Linked DNA regions of Nothobranchius furzeri. The protein of the gene in region 2 binds, or shares a complex with, the protein of the main gene of each other region. Links are inferred from orthologs where the notes say so. Each region holds a gene or a part of one and is shown on either strand. Other genes may lie near its edges.

Region 1 (3,820 bases), on a different chromosome or scaffold from region 2:
TTTATCTCCACAAATAACACAAGCCTGGAGGAGTTGTGCTGCGTGATGGAGTTGCTAATGGTAAAGGTTAGCTTCTACTCTCTTCTGGGCACTAGACCAACAACAGCATTCCCTGCCACAAGCCAAGATGGGTGAGTTCACGAACGCTAATTTTAAATGTGACTTAGATCTATCAGGCGTTACTAATCCCAATGTTTCCACGTCTATTTTCTTTCAGCATCTAATTTAGTTCCTGTACGTTAAACTGAGAGTTACTGATCATATTTAAAAAACGACAAATAAAAAATCGGTTTCTCAGGGAACTTGCTCTTTAAAATAAATTTATGTTTTATAATTGTAAACTTTGATTAATGAATTTAGAAAACACTTGAACATATTTCTGAATATAATTGGTCACTGTGAGCTTTCCATGCAGGCTGAACATGAAAATAGTCTCCTACTCCTGTCTCCTGCATTAGCTTCCGATAGAAAATAGACGGTGAAACTCTAGGATTAGAAAAACCTGACAGATCTACATCACACGGTCACTTAACAATCATGGACTCACCCATCTTGACTCATGACGGGGGAGGCTGTTGGTTTAACAGCCAGGAAACAGCAGAGGACATCTCAACTAGCAGACGCTAACCATTAGCATTAGCATCTCAAACACACAGCAGAACTTCTCCAGGCTTGTATTATTTGTAGAGATCAACATTGGAGGGCAAACAGTCAGTGGTAGAGTTGCTGTTATCCAATCCAGGGCGAGATGTCCAAATATCAGGAAATAAGACTCCAAATCCTGCCGTCTGAAGCTCAGCTGTGGGTAACTGAGGTCCTAGAAATGGTGCACCAGTATAATTGTTTCTTCAAAGTATGACTTACAAGCCATTCGCTCCTAGCAGAGACCACTGCGAATGTATTATTTAAACGAGTAATCCACCGCTGTAAAATAATTTTTAAGTATTGTCACTATTTTTGACATACTAAAACCACTTCTTTGTCCAATGTCTCAAATCTATGAATCTGATTACATTTAATGTTTCTCTAGTTTTTATAAACCTCTGGATTTTTTTTTTACTTTTTCTGATCTCAGTTTTGAGTTAAAAACCTTGCCTCCGTCTACTGAAGCCTGTTTTGTTGTTATTTTTACTGTGAACTACGCCCAGCAGCATTAGAGGAGAAACTAGACTTGTCAGATTCATCCTGTAACTGTTATTAGCCCTGACACCATCAGTAAATAGGTGACTCAGGTTTATTGGCAGCCAGTTCCATCCCTCCACTTGAACTGGGTTGGACTGGTTAAGTGTTTTGAAAAATTAGCCCTCCTCTCCTTTCTTCCGATTGTTTTTCCCCCAAATAATTTGAGTTTTGTGCAGCAAAATGTGGAAGCTGTTTGTGCCGTCACTGCAGCATGTACGTGAGGCGTAACGTCAAAGATAGCGTCTGTATTTACGCCTCACCTTTTGATTTGCTCCTCTATTTGCCGGACCAGCAAGGACTCTCCAGCTGCTCGTGGCTCTGGCTCCTGACAGCTGTCGCCGGGCGGAGGCCCGTTCGTCTCCGGGCTGCTCCGACCCAGCAGGGAGCGCACACGTTTGGAGCGCATGTCCAAGATGGTATCTGAGTAGCCGACCTCCTCCAGATATCTGCAACCACAGACGGAAAATCAATAATAAAACACAAGCATAATATAGCATCAGTGGATTTGAAATTATCAGGCAAACTCACTTGCGTAGTAACTGACGTCCCTCCTTCCAGGACATCTGATTGGCTGGCTCAGAGTCTGTCTCAGCTGGTCCATTGAGAACTACAGAAAACACGTTCAACAAGCCATGAGTAGGAAAAAAAACACGTTCGGCTCTAAAAGATGCAGCATTCGTAGACAAGAACAAGTGAAAAACATACGCTGCTCTGCCTCCATCTCTGGCTTCTTTTCTCCAGGACTCTGGTCATTTCCTGTCTTCAGTTTCTGGTGCTTTGCCCTGGAGACACAAAACAAATCCCATCGGGAAAATTACCCGACAACAAGCCAATCCAAGGCTTTATTTACTAAACACAGCACCTGGAGAATGTACACAACTGTTAGATGGGGCCAAAACAGCCGACATCAGCTTTGTCCTATACATGTCCTATTTTATCAGAGGCTGCAGGAATAATGTGATGAGAACAAACCTTTCCTGTTTGAGGGCATACTCCAGCATTTTGATCCGCCTCACCAGGTCCTGTTTCATGTTCTCCTGCCCTTTCCGTTCACTCTGTAGGAATGCCACCTGAGCCTGTATGTAACGCACACACACACACACACACACACACACACACACACACACACACACACGGTTATGAATACACTTAATCCTTATTTTAAAAAGGAAATTGTGCAGATCCTACCACATGGGCTCATATAGGCCAACTAAAACCCAATACTTTAGACAACATTTTCATTTTTTATCCCTTTTGTTGCAAACGCCACAAAGAAGTGAAGAGTGACCGTAAAGACTATGTAGGTATTTCTGATTTACTTCTCTACAAATGCCATGATAAAAATATTAGTTCTTCATTTGCCGTTACAAAGGTCAAACAGCTTATTAAAACGTCTAGCTTCACAGATTTCCACTGGGAATGTTCTTTTTTTGGAATCTGATCAGTGGGGATTCAAGTTTGGAAAGCGTCCCACTCATCTCTGCAACCTTTAAATTACTCCACAATTTCCTTTTTGGACTCAAGTCTGGACAGGATTTCTTGACTATATTTAATATAATTTGGATGTTTTATATTTTGATAATGACCTTGGTACATTCAAGTGTTCCTCTGCTTCAAAAGGCCTGATTCAAATGAAAATGAATGGATTGGGTAGCCATTATGGGCAGACCAATATATCGACCAGTCGATATATCGGTCTGATATTTACTGATTTTAATACAACAGCTGATATTTGTCCTTAGTAAAGCTGATTTAAAGTCAGGCACATCTTTGGACAACCCAGTGCTGTTGCAGCATTTAATTTAAATGTATTTTTATGCTCACTAGTAACATGTGCATGATGAATACTCTAAATTACCATTATTAACAATGAGCTGTGCACAACGTTAAGATTTAACAGCTGGTTAAATTCAGAGTTCAAAAAGCACATCGGCTGACCATGCCTCCAACATATCGGCATTGGTATCAGCAATAGAGAAACCGTATCGGTCGACCTGGTTCTGAGATGATTCCTCAAAATAAACATAAATTTAAATGTGACTTTTACACTTAAGGTTCCGGAGTTTTCCCTTTTCAGAAGTTATATATGATTTTTCAGAAATCCGTAAGTGATCGTCTTATCATGTACTGTGATGTAATGTAAGCAATACGTCTTTGTTGATAAGAACGCCCTCTGCCCCGCAGAGCTCCGTGAAATAGGAACCTGAGCGCCGACCAGAACTAACCAATAGCGTACTGCTTACGTGCTTCAAATTTAAGGAAGTACCTCGGCTGATGCAGAGTTGATGAACTTTTCACCAACAAGTGTTTAAGATATATGAAAGCACAACACGATATGAGTATAATACTTGTAATGCGTGTTTTAGCTCTGTTTGTCGGCTACAGAAGCACATTCAGAAACAAGAAACATGAAGTCGCCATCTTAAAAAAATGGATCGAGTGACTATTTGTGTGATATGCTTGTCAGCCACCAGATGGTGCCATCAGATAAGAGAAACACTACCGGAGAGATACTTTAATTGTTAAATAGAGATAAAAACAGTAGCTAAAAAGGATAAAAATATGGTTGACTAGAATTTTTGTTTTATGGCTCATTAGCAACGTTCCCCTGCATTAATCTGGGCCACGGATCTCATCA
Region 2 (4,534 bases):
TGTAGGTCCATATCTACCCAGCTCTGCTCTGAAGGTTTCCCTGATGATTTTCCACTCAGGCTTGTCGGCCGGGTCGTTCTGTTGAATCGTCTCCACCATCAGGTACATGATGTTAAGCAGCACCCGGAGATCGGTGCTGTCGGCGAGGGAGATGGCCGGTTTTCTGACTGCACTACTACAGGCGGCACTGTTACTGAGGAGTAGAGTGCATCAGTGATATAACAGAAAATACATAGACTGAAAACTCTGCGAAACAACAACTTTTACAGCAATTAATGTGCAACAACCATTCATGAACTGAACATAAAACATACTCGATCTCCATGTTAAGTAGTTCCACCAGAGCAGAGAAGGTCCCAACATCAAGTAGCAGAAATATGTTATATCTCATCCAGTGCTGCACCTCAACCTCAGAGCTGCATTCTCCAAAGGTTCCTGCATAAAACAGAGATTTATCAAAGGTTAGAAACATAAAGCAGATCTTTACCTTGTAATTAAGTTGATTTTATTCAAAGTGAGGGAACACTGACCCTGAGCCATGTACAGAATAGCTCTAGCAACCTTCAGTCTCTTCTCACGAGTGATGACCTCCAGACTGTCCAGGAGACGCAAGGCATGAGCCCTGTGCTGAGCTGCATCCAGCTCCGTCCACTTCTTATCAAACACTGAAGCACAGCAAGGAAACAGCTAAATAAACATTTTATATTTTATAAGCATCTTATCGGTAATTAGGGCCACCTACCATGAGCTCTGAATTCTTCCTCAAAGCACTTCCTGTTAAGAACAAATTCTGGTCCTTCAGTGTAACTGTAAAGTTCTGAAAATGGTACAAAATAAAATTTAATTAATGGTCTAGTTAAGAACAAGTCAAACTTATTCTGAATCTAGATTTCTGATTCTGAGAAGCATATGCATCCAAACCTGACAGCTCTGCAGCCCACTTGTCTGTGTCAGAATATTCAAACTCGAGATCCGGCAACTCAGACATTCCCTGCACACATGAGATCAGATATCAGACAAAAATAATAGTAATTTCTTGCCTACAGTTTTGAAGAAGTATCACTAATTAGAATTTTAATTAAGAAATCATTTTATATATCCCAGATGTAAATTAAGTGTTGTAGTAACCCTGACTAAAGTATGATTTATTGTGAAACATAAGGATGTCAGAGTTAGATAAAAGGGATTTTTGACACCAAACACACTGCACACAATCCTAGCTCCATACTGCAGCAACACAACACTGCACACAAGATGTGTCCAGCCCCGAGTGATAACACCTGCTACACAAAAACACATAAAAATGAGAAAAGAGGCTGACATCTGATCTCCAAACTAACCAGAACCCAATCCCATTGTTAATTGAAGGATGAGTCACAACAACCACAACAAATATGATTTAGTGTTTACGTACAAGCATCAAACCAAGTGGATCAGTGGACAACTCTGGTCCTCTGAGGGCACTACCCAGCATGTTTTAGTCATTTCCCTGTTCCAACACACTTAATTCAATGGTTGAATAACCTGTTCAGCAGGTCATCAAGCTTATGTAGAGGTCTTTTAATCACCTGCTGATTAAAATGAAATGTATTAATGCAGGGAAACAACTAAAACATGCTAAAGAGCGGCCCTCGAGGTCCAGGACTGCCCACCCCTGCATGCTCTCTGGTCTTTCCTATTAATTTTCTCTCTCTCTTTCCGTACTTTTTGTTTTTGTGAAGTGCCTCGTGATTTTTATCTTGAGAGGCGCTATATAAAATATCGTTTTCTTTCTAATACTGATGGTGGAGCTCCTGCATATCCACTACAACCATGGTGAGTAAATTTGGTTTCATTTGGACAAACTGCAGTATTAAAAGACCAATTCTAGCACCAAAATAGAGACAAATCAAGTATTTTTTAATTTCTAGTTGTACTTGATTCAGTTTGTTTATTGGGTCAAATCAACTCCTGGAGCAGATTCTGGAAATTGCTGCTATGCATCATGATGCAGACACGCACTGTGACTAGGAAGAACCCTATGTTAGCTTATTCACGTAACTGTTTTTAAAGCACTGTTGCTGCAACTAAATGGATCATAAAGCACGAGTGGACCCGACTCACATTTTTTCAACAGGTAGACAGAATTCTGACAGGCAGTCCTGTTAGCTAGCATCAGCTAGCTACTCTAAGCGAAGCTAGAGCTAAACCAACAGCAACATTTCAGAGGACAAAAAGATCACAAAGATATACACACACATTTAAAACATTTTGAGTCAGTTACTGCAGATAGCAGCAGCCGAGTTGTTAAAGACATGCTAGTTAAGAGACACTCACAAAGCTAACGTTACAATAGCAGAAACGAGGCCTCGTCTTGATTACAGAACCCCCTGGCGAAATAAAAATTAACTTTTCTGTTAACGCACCTCTGAGTCTTTTCTTGAATTCCGAGGAAATTCTCCCCTGCCTTTATTGGGCAGCATAGCTCTTTGTTTATTGTTTACAGGTGGACCACCACCATTCCCACCGACATCCATCATTAGCAATTGGACGAACTCTCGCGAGATGAAAATTGAGCGAGAGTTTGTTTCTGACGCGTACGTGGACCTTCCTCTCGGTTCTTCTGTTGCATCTTTTTGACGAATTTGTATTAAATCTGTCATTCATGTTCAACTTTATATTATTTTTATAAGATCAATCCCACCCTTGCTTTAAGATCAGATTTTATTGTTTATAATTTTTAAGGTTTTGACGATCGGCGGTCAAATTCATACAAACATCAGATACCTTTATATTTACTCAACAAAAAACTCTATATTTTCTTTCAATGCCCCCACTGTACATCTATCATGTAAATGCGCACAAGGACAACAGCTCTGTTTTGCAATTTCATGTGTTTATTGAAGGAAAATTTGGACAGAAAAACAAACATTGAAAATTTTTTAGTTGTTCAATAAGTAGAAATGGTGATGGACAACACTACAGCAAATATTCATTGTTCATATGGTGTAACCAATTCCTCCTGTACTCCATTGGGAGCTGGTGTCCACCTTCAGCAGACTGTGCGAGGTGGGCAGCCTGCTGGTCTCCAGTCCATCACAAGAACACTAAAGTATTACTTTACATTATCCAGTCTCAGATGTTGCAATGGTCTGTTGGTAAAATCCCAATGAGAAACGATTCTATTGTCCCAAAGTCATTGCAGTTGTAGTGTCATGAATGTCCTGTTTTTGACCAAAAGGTCATGATCTGCTGCGTCTGCTCGAGCAGAGACTTGTCTCTGACACAGGCTAATCTACATGAGATAGTGGCCAAGGTATTTCATGCACTCTGCTCATTGAACTGCTTCACCTCTGTTACAGCTCAAGACGAAGACGAAGAACTCTTGATAAACACATAATCAACCAACTTAGTTATTACCAATAATAATGTGAGCCCAATGTTCAATCAATCTGTGAAATGACAATGTTATTACTTGATATTATAATCCTGTGATCAGTAGTATTTTACAAGTAATTATAATCTTGGGCATTTCCACTAGACACTAATGACATGTAACGCTAAAGCCACATGACACATTTCCTTTTGTCTGATCCAATCAGAACCTTCGTTTCTGACGCGAGGCATTGTTTTCTGTGGTGTTTGTTTAAACCCTCTTTTGCATGTCAAATTCTGATTCGCCAGTAAACCAAAATATGACAATTATAAAAACTATCCCACGCCACCTTTTGTTTGGTTTAAAGCGTTCTAGAGAAGTCTCGGACAGGCCATCCGGACTTCCCCTTCAGCCATAAAGAACCTCGACAAGCTGGATAAAATCTATTATAAGTTACACCTGTCTGCAACGGTTCCTTCAGAATAAAAGCTGAACCTCACGACCCCTTCAGGGTCTCGCTGACGCCAGTGATAACCTGTCGTGACCTGGAAGCATTCCGAGACTAGTTTGGTCGGCAACGCTGCTTTTCTACCGGCTTCGGTACCAAGAAGGGTCCAAGAGGACCTCAGCATTCTGGATCTAACGGAGGCTTCCCCTGGGTATGTAGACCGACAGATGGCATTTCATGTGTGTTACAAATCTACTGAAGTTTAGAGCGAAACATTCACTCCCACTCAAAACTGCTTCTCCGGATACGCTGGTTCTGATAACATTCCACACACACACCATCATCGCACGTTTCACTCCACCTTAGTCCATCAGTACACAGAGTGTTAAAGTTAGTCTTGTTTAAATCGTGTAGAAATAAATTTCTTAACCATTTTAAACCTGACTCTCTCTCTTTCCTCCGAGTTATAAGAAGTGTCAAGTAATCCCTGCAATAAAAAGTTCTGATCGTCTGGTTAAAATATTCAAAGATCCATCAGATTGATATTTCATATTTCTATGGAATCTCACATTTTATGGTTCAGAAGTAAGATGTAAACGACCCATCCTTTACACAGTTTATTTGGTCAAAGATTGTCAACAGGAACGTTTTAAACAGCTGAACGTAAAAATACAGAATACTAGTTGGTTTCTGCAACCTTTTTCAGTAACCATCAAAACATTTAGGTCATG

What was found.
Region 1: strip1 (region 2) and strn4 share a complex: the UniProt entries of both Homo sapiens proteins name them as parts of the core of STRIPAK complex. The link is inferred for Nothobranchius furzeri from reciprocal best matches to the Homo sapiens genes STRIP1 and STRN4.

The regions. Positions count from the first base shown.
Region 1 is NC_091753.1:40,954,510-40,958,329, forward strand, and holds part of strn4 (striatin-4), read right to left. Parts: intron 2,259-3,820; coding exon 2,155-2,258; intron 1,965-2,154; coding exon 1,888-1,964; intron 1,790-1,887; coding exon 1,711-1,789; intron 1,629-1,710; coding exon 1,443-1,628; intron 1-1,442. UniProt on the Homo sapiens protein: Calmodulin-binding scaffolding protein which is the center of the striatin-interacting phosphatase and kinase (STRIPAK) complexes.
Region 2 is NC_091743.1:46,737,706-46,742,239, reverse strand, and holds the start of strip1 (striatin-interacting protein 1 homolog), read right to left. Parts: upstream 2,843-4,534; 5' UTR 2,643-2,842; coding exon 2,406-2,642; intron 992-2,405; coding exon 922-991; intron 818-921; coding exon 743-817; intron 666-742; coding exon 531-665; intron 436-530; coding exon 315-435; intron 194-314; coding exon 18-193; intron 1-17. UniProt on the Homo sapiens protein: Plays a role in the regulation of cell morphology and cytoskeletal organization. Required in the cortical actin filament dynamics and cell shape. Part of the striatin-interacting phosphatase and kinase (STRIPAK) complexes.